3 linked regions of the Bombyx mori genome follow. The protein of the gene in region 1 interacts with the protein of each later gene in a biochemical or structural test. Links are inferred from orthologs where the notes say so. Each region holds a gene or a part of one and is shown in the gene's direction. Other genes may lie near its edges.

Region 1 (5,113 bases):
AACATTTATTTTATAGTAGTCGAATTTGAAATGCATCATACACTTAATTGCTGAACCAGGTTATGTTGAAATAAATAATTGACTTACAGTACAGTTTTACTGTACCAAGATATCTTAGATAGAGCTAGCTGTTAAACTTATTGACTATTAAGCAAAATATATATTTTTAATCTATTACTTATTCTTAAACAAACTCACATTCCAAATGTTTGAACAGCAGGAATCTGTCATTTCTTATACCAGGGCTGTATTTATTACTCTTCCCGTATATATATTGTACCATTATTTGTTTTGTAGAGCTATCTTCAATTTGTTCACTGACTCTTTCTTTGTCAGGAAGTAAACACATTAAATAAGCACAGTACAAAGGCTCTTTTGCCTCAGCATCATCAGTTGGAAGTTTCTTGACAACATATGCTAAAAGACTTTGTGTCGCATTCACTGAAGCTTGTATGATATTAGTTTTCTTGTCAAATGTGTGTAGAATAGTCAGAGATTTGGTTTTATTTACATATATGCCAATGTTGAGGACCTCCGCATTATTTTTTGTATTTGAAAGCCAAGTAAGAAGTTGTGAACCATCTTGTTCTTGTCCTAAAAGACGCCACTCTCGTGCTGTAATTTCTGAAAAGCATTTTTCTCGATTTACATATATTTAGAGGATGGCTGTTGCTCTAACTGCCTTTTTTTCGTAAAATCATTTATTTTTTTGTAGTTAATAGTTTCATTTATATATAAATAAAATAATATTGTCTGGAATTACAGCATTAGAACTACATATAGTGAATTTGAAAATATTATTAATAAATGTTTAAATTTATTTGACCAATTAACACAAGTAAATGAGTATGTAAGTAATTAGAAACCATTTTAAGGCCAGCCAACCTGCAGTCGACAATATTTTTAACTAAAGCGTCAGGCCCGATTGAGATAGCAATCCATAACGCAAAGCTTCAACATACCCTCCTCACTTGCTGCCTGAAGTATTCCACACAATTTCACCGCAATATTTTGAACAGCCATTTTAAAATAGTTTTTTTCAATTTCACCTGTTACATTTACAAATAATAACAACAGTTCATCATATCGCCACGTTATCAATTGAATCAACGCACCTTTATTGACTTTTCTCGCTCATTTTCCATCAGCTGGCGCCCAGCTGTTAATGTGGTCTGAAGTTAGGATTATGCTTTTTGCCAACAAAAAGAAAATAATTTTAATACGACTTTGTTGGTATTCCTGTATCACTACAGACACAAACTGTCCAATCAAAAAGAAGCGTTGATTTTGGATCTACATTTCGTTTCACTCGAAAAAAATTAGATGAAGAATTAACAATAAAGATTTTTAACCTTGATTCATTCCACGGAAAATCTGAAATTGAAAAAAGGTTCTGCAGTGCAAACAAGCTTTTAAAAAAATCTATTTAGTCTTTCCTTTTGTCTATTTAAAAAATCTAAAAATTAATATTTTTAAATATTAAAAGTGTTCGCGAAATGAATGAGTTTTCAATAATTTTCAAACCAATTAAGACCGTAGAAAATATGTGAACTAAAAATGAATCAAACCTTTTCTTTATTTCGAATTAGTCTTGGAACGGAAATACACAAAAATGTTATGCGTGCAACGAAACGTGTTATTTCAGTGACGTACATTTTCAGAAGAAACAATCATGAAGCTAGCCAATGTTAACCCCGTTGGGCTCCTAAGTTTTACCGCGACATTTTCGCGCGGAAGCCGGGCGTTATCGAGCCGTGAAAACCTGAAAAGTGCTATGTGTAAGCAGAAAATCATCTGATCTGTAACCTTTTTACCTACATTTGGCTAACTTACGACCACGGACGTGAATGTTTCGGAATAAACTAAACTAATAGTGTCATAAATTGACATTCCATATCTGGTGCATGAAGAAATTTAGTTTTGTGTAAATTAAATCAATTTGTGAATGATCAGGTATGTACTGAGTTATTTTTTAGCAACCCAAGTATATAAGGAATCGAATTAAGATACGGTATCTATTGTAATTTTTAGACTTTCTTTACAAATTAGGTTATAAACTACTGTGGGCGATAAGCCAAGCCAATTAGATTGTCAACTATTAGGCTCCCTAAATTGCCTCAAATTCGGTTTTTAAAGTAGTATTTTAGACGAATTTTAATAACAAGATAATACAGTGTCACGTTTAAGCTATTTTTATCAATTTCCTTATGTGGATTGGGCGAGAAACCCAAGCTTGCGACGTGTCTAATGGCGCTGACGGAATGATTTCGCGCGCGAATATGACGGTTTCGTGGCATTTTTTGGAGCAGCTGATCGATTTATTTTTACTTTTCTTTAATATGAAATGATACATTAGCCTTTCTGCTGACTATATAACATAAAAATACACACATAATAATGTTAAATCCACGAGATATTGTCCTCTAAAAAAAATTCTCCCGCCAACCAGCAGGGGGCACGCTGCAGAAACACACACTCATTTCTCATACAATATGCATTAATATGCCTTTATTTGCATCTTTGGAAGTATCCTGAAGGATCCCTGATAAATAAGATAATTTATTAAGTACGATAATTTGCTAATTATGGCCTCAATACGGTTGTCAAGTGACATAACCCTATTTGCAACTTGAACATGACATGCGGTAATTTTAGACAGTATAATTCTAATTTGGACCTTCGAATGTAAGATGTCGATCTGGATATTGAAACTTTGTTTTATTTCAGGCTGAAAAAATAGTACTACATCCCAACTGTCTCTTCCAATATGGCTGAATCTGGGTATGTACTTACTCCATTCTTTAATCACATAGAAATAGCTAGCTTAAAGTTTGAGTGCATATTGACTGTTGTTGACCCTATTTTACAGGTCTCCCTCTGAAGCCAGTGAAAAGCGCATGACCTTAAAACGTAAAAGAAGCTCTTCTGATGATGAGGTGTGTACATTTTCAACACAATAAATGCTTTTCAGTTGAACCTATACTTATATTTACATGTTTACTCTTTTAGTTAGAAAACCAGCCTCCACAGAAGATAGCCTCAACCCTTGATGAACAATTATGTGATCAACCAGCGCTTCATGTTGTGGTAGAATCATCATCATGCTCAAGCGATGATGAAGGCTCTCAATATGGGAACAGTGATCAACCAAGGAGTGTTTATACAGACATTGATTACAACCCTGACAGCTTTCTGAGCCCACCTAGTGTTTCTGATCTGCCCAACAGCGTACTGAGCCCCTTAGAAAATGTGGCCAGAGGCGAGTCCACCCCACACTCTAATAAAAGGGCTAAGTGAGTAGTTTTTCTGATCTGAATTATTTTTGAACTATCTTAATAATATCAAGGCCCCAAACATTATCTTGTGATGACTAAGCTCTTATATTATTTGCCTATAAACAAAAGAAAAAAGTTTATCACTGTGGGATTTGCCAAATACACATCATCTGTCAGTTTCTGAATTTGCATTGTAACTAAACAAAACTTTTACTTAGTTGAACTGTTTCAGTGCTAGTAAGCCTCCATGCCCTACACCTCCAAAACGCAAATGTCCCTTGCCTGGATTGTCTTGGGCTGATCCTGCTGATGTCTGGAACAGCATGTGCGAGTGTGATGCCAGGTCCAGCAAGAAGAAGAACCCTAACATGTTTGACAATCATCCTAATCTTCAGCCCCGGATGAGAGCTATTTTACTGGACTGGCTAAATGAGGTAAGTCAACATAATATGATATAAAGGGTGAGGGGCTTTGTTTACGAATATTAATGGATAATTTATGGATCAGGATTTACCAAGTCTGGCTGTCAGATATCCATTTGTTAAGTAGAAATGTAATTTGGCAATGAATATTATATAAAAATAGGAGTGATAATACAGAAAATAAAATCTTCCAATTTTAACCTTACATAACTACATATGTCTAGATGAAACTCGTGCATTAAAAAAAAGTTGTCTTGCACTCATAATGTTGACAGGCAAGCTACTGCAGTGTTTTTTAGGAAATAGGTATTCAAAAAAAAAATTGAAATTAGAACCTCTTCTTTATTTTATTTATTGTAAAATGTTTCATGCTGCCCCATAGTGGTTTTTGACATAAAAAGGTAAGTCATAATGTTACAGTTTTTTATTTACAATTGGTATATATGGAAAGTGATGTAATATAAGGTCAATGACCCGTTTTTTGCTGTGTTCATTGAACTTTAAGCCAATGCGATTTCAATATGGTTCAGTTAACCATGTTTCAGTTGTTTTTTTTTTATATATTTAAGTGCAAATTACAAGTTTATAACCTCACACATTTTTAGGTTTTATGCTACGACTATAGGCGTAAATGTGACGTCATAAATAGAATGTTTGTAGTTGACATTTCGAATTGTCTAGAATAAGTCGCCCTGCACCATTGCGATAGCCGACAACATTGAATCAGAAAGAAAAAAATCTCGTTCCAAAAATAGAAACTTGCCCTCTCCTGGCTCACGCCATTGCTCTAATTATTAACTCTTAGTGATTTTGTTTAAAAATTAACTAACTATTCTAAATCGCCTTATTTAATAGTATATACGATTGACAGCTATGTGATTATATACTAATAATATAATATATTTTGAAAGGAAGGACGCGTAGTACACGTCTCTTGTTGAAACTTCCGCATTAATCGTTCGAAATGCACGTCATTCTTTTAAGAACTTTTGATCAGGAAAGCGGTGGTATCATTTGGAAATAAAGAGGAAATAAAAAAACTGAAATCAGAATCGGAACCCCGAAGTCGAAGTCGTCGTGGCCTAACGGATAAGACGTCCGGTGCATTCGTGTTGAGCGATGCACCGGTGTTCGAATCTCAAGCGGGTACCAATTTTTGTAATGAAATACGTACTCAACAAATGTTCACGATTGACTTCCACGGTGAAGGAATAACATCGTGTATAAATTATAATTTGCGTAATTACTGGTGGTAGGACCTCTTGTGAGTCCGCGCGGGTGGGTGCCGCCACCCTGTCTGTTTCTGCTGTTTCTGCCGTGAAGCAATAATACGTTTCGGTTTGAAGGATAGGGCAACCGTAGTAACTATACTTGAGACCTTAGAACTTATATCTCAAGGTGGGTGGCGCATTTACG
Region 2 (5,020 bases), on another chromosome or scaffold:
CGAAAACAAAGAAAGAACGGACTGAATCAACACCGAATGCAACCTTCTTTGTTTGTGTTTTGTGTTGTTTTGATTGGAACTGACAGTTGTGGATAGTGTGGCATAATCAGTTCAGATACGATATGCGATATGATTAAATTTGTTAATCGATTAAAGTTCGATTTCAGACGCCTTAACAGATTTTATTTCAAAATTGTGCAATTTAAAAAAATGTTGTTTTTCGAATGATTTCATTTTCATTTGTATATAATATGTTGAACCTAATAAATTTAATGTCTTCGATTTTTTCAGTATTATCGATTATTATTTTTCCTATCTATTCCAGTAACCTGGAGGGGTCATACCATATTCATCTGGCGAGTTAGGTGAGCTCGCGGTGCTTTAACCTGGCGAATTTGCTAACACTAGCCCTAGCAAGAGCAGTGCTTCACAAAATCTACCACTGGATCGGAAACGCGATCCACTGAGAACTGAGAGAATAATTGGCGGTAGGACCTCTTGTGAGTCCGTGTGAGTAGGTACCGCCACCCTGCCTATTTCTGCCTTAAAGCAGTACTGCGTTTTGGTTTAAAGGGTGGGGCAGCTGCTGTAACTGTAACATACTTGAGACTTTAGAACTTATATCTCAAGGTGGGTGGCGCATTTACGTTGTAGATGTCTATGGGCTCCAGTAACCACTTAACACCAGGTGGGCTGTGAGCTCGTCCCCCCATCTAAGCTATCTCAAGGTGGGTGGCGCATTTACGTTGTAGATGTCTATGGGCTCCAGTAACCACTTAACACCAGGTGGGCTGTGAGCTCGTCCCCCATCTAAGCAATAAAAAAAAAAGTTGGCGTGAAACTCAGTGCGCTGGAATTTTGATCTTAAAGTTGTAAAAACAGGAGGTAAATCATGATAAGATAAATTTTTTTTTCATTTATCCTTACACTTCTATATTTACAAAATGAAATAAATAACTTTTAATCCAGAAGTGAAACCTACCCAGAAATAGTTTCCAAGTTAATCTTATTGTTTTATTGTTTTGTTTTACTATCTACCGTGTTTAGTCTAATAAAAACGGGGACAATGTAATAAATAAAAATACCGAAGAATTCCTTATTTAATGTGCTCTGAACTTTAAGCGCTTACAGCTGTCGATCAAGGCTGGTTTGAATGGTTACTTCGAGATAGAACAGCAGAGAGCGAGAGCGCGTATCCGTTTCTCGTAATGAATTAAGTCATAGTGTAACTATGTGTCATTGGTGACCTTAATCTTTAAGGATAATTAGATTTTGTCATCAACAAAGTATAAATATGTTAAGTCAATCGAGAAATTTTATGCCTTGATTCAAGAAAAAAAATCGCGTGGTAGCTGCGATGGTGTGAAAAAATATCAAATAATAGTAATAATTAAAGACAAGTTAAATATATAAATAAATAGAGAGAAATTGTATAATATAAATAATTCATAATAATAATAAATAATTTAAAAAAATCTGTTTTTCGGCAAGCTTAATAATCAATCTGAGTGGCAATCATGAGCAAAGAAGTCCTCGATTTAGTAATAGCAAGTGTGACATTAATGCCCAATGTCAATGTCAGTTTGTACGTTTAAAAAATTTGTCATATTTGTCTATAGCTGAATTCCTTTTTTTTTAGTTTAATTTTGACTTCAAAGTGCTATCTGTTGCGTGTGCCAAATTTTTTATCTAGCTATATTTGGAAATTTATAATACAAAATTAAGTGAAAATGAACATTAGTGGTCTGGAAGATGAAGTTAATTCACCCGTTAAACCAGACGATGCAGAAAGTCCTAGGTGAGACTTGAATTTTTAGCAAAAATCGTCATGGAATTCAATCTGACATGACAGCTGATTTTCAGCGGTAAAGTTGAATGGCGCGAAATAATCACGCCCTAATTATTATTTTTACACTACTATATTTACGGTTATTCAAAGAGTTGGAATATTATTTCAGCAAGAAAAAACTTAGAATAAGTAATTCGACGCGGAAAAGTTGGAGTTTGATGGACAAACGAACGAATTACGAGGTATGTAGTAATTTTTTCCCGCCCTCTTCCGTTCTAGTTAAAAACTTTTTATTTGATATCAATCGTGTTTTAACTATCATTCGAGTTTCTCACAGCTCCTAAATCCAATATTAATATACATATCGAGTTTGGGACGCGTAATTTTATAGTTTTGCCACAAAACACGCAAATGAACTGAGATCGAAATATGTATACATGCTCCCATTTTCATGTATAGATTTTATGGGTTCTCCGGCGTGTAGTGAGCAATGGTTGATACTGCCACCCTGCGAGGTCCCATATAAGCAGTCGGGTGACCATTATTCACAAACAAATAAGACTGTATGAATATATGCTCATACAGCAACATTACAAACAGATTCTGGACCATTTCTCAGTTATGCAAATTTTGTTTAAGTCATCACTATTATAAGTAATGCTTTCAAATAATATTATGTATTTTTATATGTTATGCACATATTTACTAGTGATAGGAGGACATATTGTGAGCCTGTACTGGTAGGTAACATGCCCCTGCCTATTTCTGATGTGAAGCAGCAATGCACTTGGTTTTTAAGGGTGGGGCAGCCATAGAACTGAAACTTAGAGCTTACTCTCATGGTAGGTGGTGGCATTGACATTGTTGATTTATAGACATCAATAACCCATAGGGTTCTGGGAAGCACTTAACACAAGGTAGGCCCTGATTTGATTCACCTATCAAAGCAAGAAAAGCTTTAAAAAAGACAAGGAACGGGACAAGCTATGTTTCTAGTAATTTTTTCTCAATTACTAAATTTCTATTTGTATTTAGAGGTACTAGATTAATACATGAGTGGTCCAAACACACATTCAAGCATAGACATTGAAAAATATAAGGTTAAATGTAGTTTAAAGAAACATTTGAGAATTGTCTTTTATAATCCTGTACCATATTAAATCATAAAAAGCCTATAGGCTTTCATTGAAGAAGATCTGATTTACGGGCATCCTATGTTATTCTACACAACAAAAGGAATATGTTTGATTAAAATTCGATCAACATAGATTAAGATATCAATTTTGATTTGCATCAGACTAGCTGAGCATAGATCATCAAAGTGCTCTATGGGATACTAGGTTTCTTCAAAGGGTTTTGGAGATATGATATAACTTTGTTTTTCTGTACTGAAATACAAAGGTTTGATTAATCTTAGAAATACATATTTTTCAATTCTTATAATGTTTGCATAGTAATAATTACATATTAGAACTAATTGTTTAATACTAATGTTTAATCCATAGATAGAATAATGTCTCATGTTAAAGGGAACTGTATGATTTTGGGAATAAATAAAGTTTAAACTTTATTTTTAGGTATTACAAGAAATGGGGGTTAGTTTGCTTGAGCCTGATGATAATGAACAATCCTGTGAACTGAGTTCGAGCAGTGGAGGGGTGAGTTTTATGTTTTTGTATCGCTGTCTGTGTTTGGCGACACAACCCTTGTGGTAAGTGCTTTGTTTGCTAATGGAAGTCCTGCACAGCCAAGTTACAATGAGGAGCAGGTCTAATTTTAAAACTCCCGGTAACAGTAGGCTCGTTTAACCATTACCATTTTACTGGTGGTAGGACCTCTTGTGAGTCCGCGCGGGTGGGTACCACCGCCCTGCCTATTTCTGCCGTGAAGCAGTAATGCGTTTCGGTTTGAAGGGTGGGGCAGCTGTTGTAACTATACTTGAGACCTTAGAACTTGTATCTCAAGGTGGGTGGCACATTTACGTTGTAGATGTCTATGGGCTCCAGTAACCACTTAACACCAGGTGGGCTGTGAGCTCGTCCACCCATCTAAGCAATAAAAAAAGATAAAAAATTGAGATAATGGAAATTCAACAGTTTATTTTGATTCCAGCACCACCACAAAGGCACAAAACGAAAACGGGACATAGAAAACGTGAATCCAAATACGAATTCATGTTCTCCGATCACAAAACGAAGCCCGGGACCTTCCAAGGCGAAGAGCCCTCGCGTTCACACCGGTAAGTCTTCCATAAAGTCTCGCTGCTCATCAAAATAACACTTTGATAAGTTTAATATCGGTTTGTGCAGAAACTATGTCCTCAAATATTTGCCAGGGGTGGTTGCTGGTTTGTTAAATATGAATGCTTCAAAACAACAATCATTCATGCTTACTTTGGTAAATTAATATTATTTTAGGCTATTTGGGTTTCATCCATAAGTTAATTGTCTATCTTTGTGTTTTTATTTTTATTTTTTTTTATTGCTTAAATGGGTGGACTAGCTCACAGCCCACCTGGTATTAAGTGGTTAATGGAGCCCATAGACATCTACGACGTAAATGCGCCACCCACCTTGAGATATCAATTCTATGGTCTCAGTATAGTTACAACGGCTGTCCCGCCCTTCAAACCGGAACGCATTACTGCTTCACGGCAGAAATAGGCAGGGTGGTGATACCTATCCGCGTGGACTCACAAGAGGCCCTATCACTAGTAATTACGCAAATTGTAATTTTGCTGGTTTGATTTTTATTACACGATGTTATTCCTTCACCGTGGAAGTCAATCGTGAACATTTGTCCAGTACGTATTTCATTACAACAATTGGTACCCTCCTGCGGGATTCGAACACCGATGCATCGTTCAACACGAATGCACCGGACGTCTTATCCGTTAGGCCACGACGACTTCAACGACGACTATGGTCCAGGGTACTGTTAGTAGTGAGAAGGCCGAACTTTTTAAAAAAAAAGGATTTATTCGAAACTACACAATATTTTTAATGAATAATTAATTATAATAAAAGAATTTAGAAATAGTGAGGAAAATTGGTAAACGTCTCACTTCAATGAATATCTGACCCGAACTGAGCCTGGTATGTTCTCATGAAATCACTGTGAGAGAGCTTATGATGAGTAAGGTGTTTGGTAAGCATTAGTCTATACAGGCTAGGGATATAACAGTACGAATACTTTCCATCCTGCTTAAAGAGGATCTAGTCTAAGTACTAG
Region 3 (4,975 bases), on another chromosome or scaffold:
CGAGCTCACAGCCCACCTGGTGTTTAAATGGTTATCAGAGCCCATAGACAGTAAATGCCACCACCAACCTTGAGTCATGAGCTGTTTTTTTTCCTACCTATACTGAAAGCCATGAGAGTCTATATTAGCTTCACCCTAAAGTGTTGGTGAGGTCACGGGGCTCAAACCAGAGTGTTGCTAACACTGGCCCTAGCAAAAGCAGTGTTTCGCAAAATTTACCACTGGATCGGAAACACGACCCACTAAGAAGATCCAGCGAGAAACTCAGTGGGATGTGTCTATGGGTGAATTCGCTCGTCGAGCCCTTCGTCGCAAGTGACGGGTTCTATGAGGACGGTGACCGGTGCTTGTGGTGCCTAAAAGCACCGTTAAAGGATCGGGAGGATCCGTAATGACGTGTTTTGGGCGACGTCGACTGTTTACCATTCGGTCTACAGGTTAGGTATACCCGATGGTATGTAATTTCCAGCGGCTACGACAAGAGGTTTCTCATGTGCCGCCTTCTTAAAGTGGCGCAATGATGCCGGCTGTAGTTACTTACTGACTAAGCCAAGTTCCAGGTCATCATGGAGATCCACGTTCCTTAGGAACCATGGTGCTCCGACGGCTATCCTGTAAAATCGGGATTGAATAACCTGAAGGGGTTTCAAGTTAGTGCGGGCCGCGTGAGCGAACATTACGCTTGCATACGTCATGACGGGGCGTATGCAAGTTTTGTAGAGTGTCACCTTATTACGGAAGGACAATTTGTTTCGCTTGCAAAGCATAGGGTAGAGATGTCCTAATATGATGTTCACGATTGACTTCCACGGTGAAGGAATAACATCGTGTAATAAAAATCAAACCCGCAAAATTATAATTTGCGTAATCACTGGTGGTAGGACCTCCTGGGAGTCCGCACGGGTAGGTACCACCACCCCGCCTATTTCCGCCGTGAAGCAGTAATGCGTTTCGGTTCGAAGGGTGGGGTAGCCGTTGTAACTATACTGAGACCTTAGAACTTATATCTCATGGTGGGTGGCGCATTTACGTTGTAGACGTCTATGGGCTCCAGTAACCACTTAACACCAGGTGGGCTCTGAGCTCGTCCACCCATCTAAGTAATAAAAAATAAAAAAATGAAGGCGGCACGGTCGTGTACCGTTTGGATATGGGGACGGAATGTTATACCTCTGTCGAGGGTGACGCCTAGATATTTGACCTTCGAGGCCCACGGTATGGACTGGCCAAAAAGAGTGATGGGGCTAACGGTGGAGGTGTTAACGCGCCTATTAGGGAGTGGGCTGCTCGAAGTGGTATTCGGAGGGCGACCCCTTTTGAAGAGCACCGCTGTGCTTTTCGTGGGGTTGATGTCGATGCGGCACTTCCGGAACGAATAATGACTTCTTGCTACACGAGTAGTAGATAGCCGTGTCATCGGCGAAGAGCGCTAGATAGGTCTCCGGAGACCGGGCTATACCTACAAACTGAGGTACGTGACGAGGGCGAGAGCACGTTCCTTCGACTCGATATCGGAACGAACGGTTCGATAAGAAGTCTCGTATAATGGGTTGAGTTCCACTTTAACTTTGTCATCATGTGTCGACATCAATGCGTATTAATGGTGGCTTCTTAACTGTTGAGCATCTATAAAAGTACATAATGTGAGAAAATGAAACAAAGTCGCTGGGAATGGCTTCACAGACTCGTCTAGAAAGTCCACTGAAGTATCAGAGAACAATCATTTTACTGTGCGTTTATTTTATTCCATCTCATCTCATTTCATTTCAACCCAATTGATTACAATCTTAAATAAATTAACTTCATCTCATTTCGTTCCATAATATGATTTTTCTTAAGATACAATAAGTATGTATGTAAGAGTTTAATAAATCAGGATTTTTATTATCTCGACTCTGCCAACAACAGTCATGCAAGAAGCTAATTGCCATACTAAAAAAAAGAAGAACATTATTTATCTATGATTTAAATTTTTAGATGTTAGAACACTGTCCTTACGTCAGAGGTTTTGGCAGCCCGCGGGTGAACTATTTTCTTCATTGTTGACCTTTCCTAAATCTAAGGTGTATTTATTTCATCACAATAAGATTTCTGGTTGTGCATTCACTATAAATCATACAAATTTAGTTAAAGTTTGCAACGATGGATTCGGAAGATGACACGAAAGACGATGTGGACTCGGGTAATGAGTCTAGTGGAGACGATGTCGACTTTGCAATGGACGTTGAAACTCATAGTACAAGGGAAAGACAAACTGAGCTTGAGGAGTATCCTTACGAGGTTTTGTCTACAGAGGAGATTGTCCAACATATGGTTGACTGCATTAAAGAAGTGAACACTGTCGTCGAGGTCAGTATGTTAGTTGTGAGCGTAAACAATGGACTAATTGATTGAGGTTACTCGTACAATGGTACACTTTGATAGAACCTTTTGTGTTGTGGACTAATTTAGTCGCAATTGATCTGACATGATATTTTTGACTGTAGGTATTGTTTATGGTTTGATTTTATTATTAGCAAACACAGTTTCTAAGAATTAAATCATCACAGGAAATCATTATTTGGCCTAATATAATCTTATGAGCCATAAAGCATTTTATGAAAGGTAAAAAGTCATTGGTATTTTTTAGAACATATAAAACTGTAAATTGATGACTAATAACTTTGTAATGCTGACTAATGTAATAGAACAAAAAGAGTGGTGCTTAAATAAATATTAAGCAAATACAAGTAGATTTCATATAACTAATTTTAATTCATCAAATATGTATGCAGAACAGAATAAGAAAGAATGTTATACATTCTTATTCAATGTTATACATTCTTTCTTATAATAAAAAGCTACAGTAAGATTCTAATAACAATTTCATTTGCATATATAATTAATAGTTTTCATTGTCAATTGCATTATTATGTACTATGATAATATTAAGGCCTAGAAAAGTGCTTATTGTTGATTAATATTGATTTGGAGATATTAATATGTTAACATGTACCTATGCTTTTTTGCATTAAGGAAAAAATCTGTTTAACTAAATATTCATTAAATGAACTGTAGAAATTATGGGTATGGTTTTGTGTTTGTGCTGAAGTAGTATATCATTACAATTTCAGCTTTGGAAACAACTTACTAACAATTATGAAAAAACATTACCCCAAAAGCAATAAACGTGTGGTTCCCTGCAATCTGATGTCATTATTATTCAATAGAGTGAGAGTGATCCTACAAGCACCAGACTAGGTTCTCCAGGAAGCTAGCTGTGGGGCCTGGGGACCCAGGGTCTGAAGCATAGCCACTCCCATTTGAGAAGCACATAAGTGGCTATTTGACCTATCTCCAAGCAGGCTTAGCACACATAACACAATCATGTCATGAGTGTGTGTAACATTGATTGCTCTACCTTTACTACTTGTAGTTCTCAGGTTGAGATGGAGTACTTGTTAGACTAATCTTCCATTGGACCACTTTAGCCCCTCAACAGATCTTTAAGGCAATTTAATCTGTCATTTTTTATATTAATGGATTACATAGTTCAATGATATTTTTTAACCTAAAGCGAGAGTCAGTTTTATTTAAATTTAAAATTTAAAATAGTAAAAAGCATTTTTTGAACTAGTAACAATCAATCTCTATTAAATATAAATTGCATTTCTGACAACAAAATTGAAATTAAAAAATGATAAGGCTCTCAGTAACATACTAATTATGTTTATATGAAACTAAGAAAAATGTTGATTTGTGTAAAATTTAACATTTTGCACTAAAACTATACTAATATATATCAACCTAAGTTAACAATAGCCAGTAACAAATTTTTACTAAATCTAAATAAAATACATTGATATGAAACTGCAATATTTCATTTAAAAATCTTTGAAATTGGCTCTTAATTGACTGTAACAAAAGTGAAAGTGATCATTGAGGAAATTTGTAACACTGTAAATTAACTGTAGGGACTAAACTAACTAAGTTAAGGGATCTCTTATCTTCAGTTTTTAGAAGCTTGTCTACTCATAGGACTTACAAAAAAAACTAGTGGATGTAAATAATTTGTTTGTGTTTAATAGTTTTGTTTTAGTGGTATATAATTATGTAAAAAAAGAAAGTTTATACAATTTTTTTCTTTACAATGTTAGGGAGATATGTAGCTATGAAGTCCCAACTATTTCACTCAGATAGTATATACCTGTCCTTGAAGATCCCCTGATTAAGTATTAAAAATTCTGATTTATGGTGTGTTAAAAGCATAAAAAATCCTGTCAAAACAGATTCCAGCAACAACAACAAGGATCTTACTGAATCATTTCAAATGGGACAAAGAGAAGCTTATGGAACGTTTTTATGATGGAGACCAGGATCAGTTGTTCTCTGAAGCTAGAGTTATCAATCCATTCAGGAAACCTGTCATACAAAGGCCAAAGGTAAATGTATTGCAGACTATCCTAAAAAAAGTAATTATATTACAACATGATTAAAAACATTTCATTACATTACCATATGTGTATATGCTAATGTAATCTTAATTTTTTATGCTATATTCATCAATATATGTGAATAATAGACATAATTAAATTTACTTTTGTGATGTAATCTTGCAATTTTAGAGTCATTATATTATTTCTAACATTTTAAATAGTTTACAGTTTTTGTGATGACTAACCACTAAACTGTTATTTATTCAAATTTGAATATTGTGTTGGGAGTCATTTGGAAATATTATAATGACAATAAAAGTTTCAAGTTAAACCATAAAAGTAGTTTATAATTAATTTCTTATATCATCATTATTCCATGTTTTATTTATTTCTGTAACTACAAAGACAAATTATGAAATAATCACCGTTGTTATTATGTACAGTACTGTTTAAATGTAATACTTGGATGGAATTTTTTTGTAAATGCCAATCCTTCTTTTTGTTTTGGACTGGGCCCGATCCTCTTATGAGATAACTGGCTGTTAACGTCAATCCTAACT

The links.
Region 2: the proteins of Cyce (region 1) and S-phase kinase-associated protein 2 form a complex in vitro, tested with the Homo sapiens proteins (2 studies listed by BioGRID, with this or other methods). The link is inferred for Bombyx mori from reciprocal best matches to the Homo sapiens genes CCNE1 and SKP2.
Region 3: of the proteins of Cyce (region 1) and E3 ubiquitin-protein ligase ariadne-1, one has a biochemical effect on the other in vitro, tested with the Homo sapiens proteins (3 studies listed by BioGRID). The link is inferred for Bombyx mori from reciprocal best matches to the Homo sapiens genes CCNE1 and ARIH1.

Annotation. Positions count from the first base shown.
Region 1 is NC_085111.1:1,944,898-1,950,010, reverse strand, and holds the start of Cyce (cyclin E), read left to right. Parts: upstream 1-1,673; 5' UTR 1,674-1,953; intron 1,954-2,727; 5' UTR 2,728-2,767; coding exon 2,768-2,781; intron 2,782-2,869; coding exon 2,870-2,936; intron 2,937-3,009; coding exon 3,010-3,293; intron 3,294-3,507; coding exon 3,508-3,709; intron 3,710-5,113. Other genes in the region: protein pigeon, read right to left, coding at 199-624, 963-1,023. UniProt on the Homo sapiens protein: Essential for the control of the cell cycle at the G1/S (start) transition.
Region 2 is NC_085117.1:567,991-573,010, reverse strand, and holds the start of S-phase kinase-associated protein 2, read left to right. Parts: upstream 1-1,619; 5' UTR 1,620-1,730; coding exon 1,731-1,798; intron 1,799-1,958; coding exon 1,959-2,031; intron 2,032-3,366; coding exon 3,367-3,447; intron 3,448-3,901; coding exon 3,902-4,028; intron 4,029-5,020. UniProt on the Homo sapiens protein: Substrate recognition component of a SCF (SKP1-CUL1-F-box protein) E3 ubiquitin-protein ligase complex which mediates the ubiquitination and subsequent proteasomal degradation of target proteins involved in cell cycle progression, signal transduction and transcription.
Region 3 is NC_085127.1:9,591,093-9,596,067, reverse strand, and holds the start of E3 ubiquitin-protein ligase ariadne-1, read left to right. Parts: upstream 1-1,967; 5' UTR 1,968-2,142; coding exon 2,143-2,349; intron 2,350-4,268; coding exon 4,269-4,421; intron 4,422-4,975. UniProt on the Homo sapiens protein: E3 ubiquitin-protein ligase, which catalyzes ubiquitination of target proteins together with ubiquitin-conjugating enzyme E2 UBE2L3.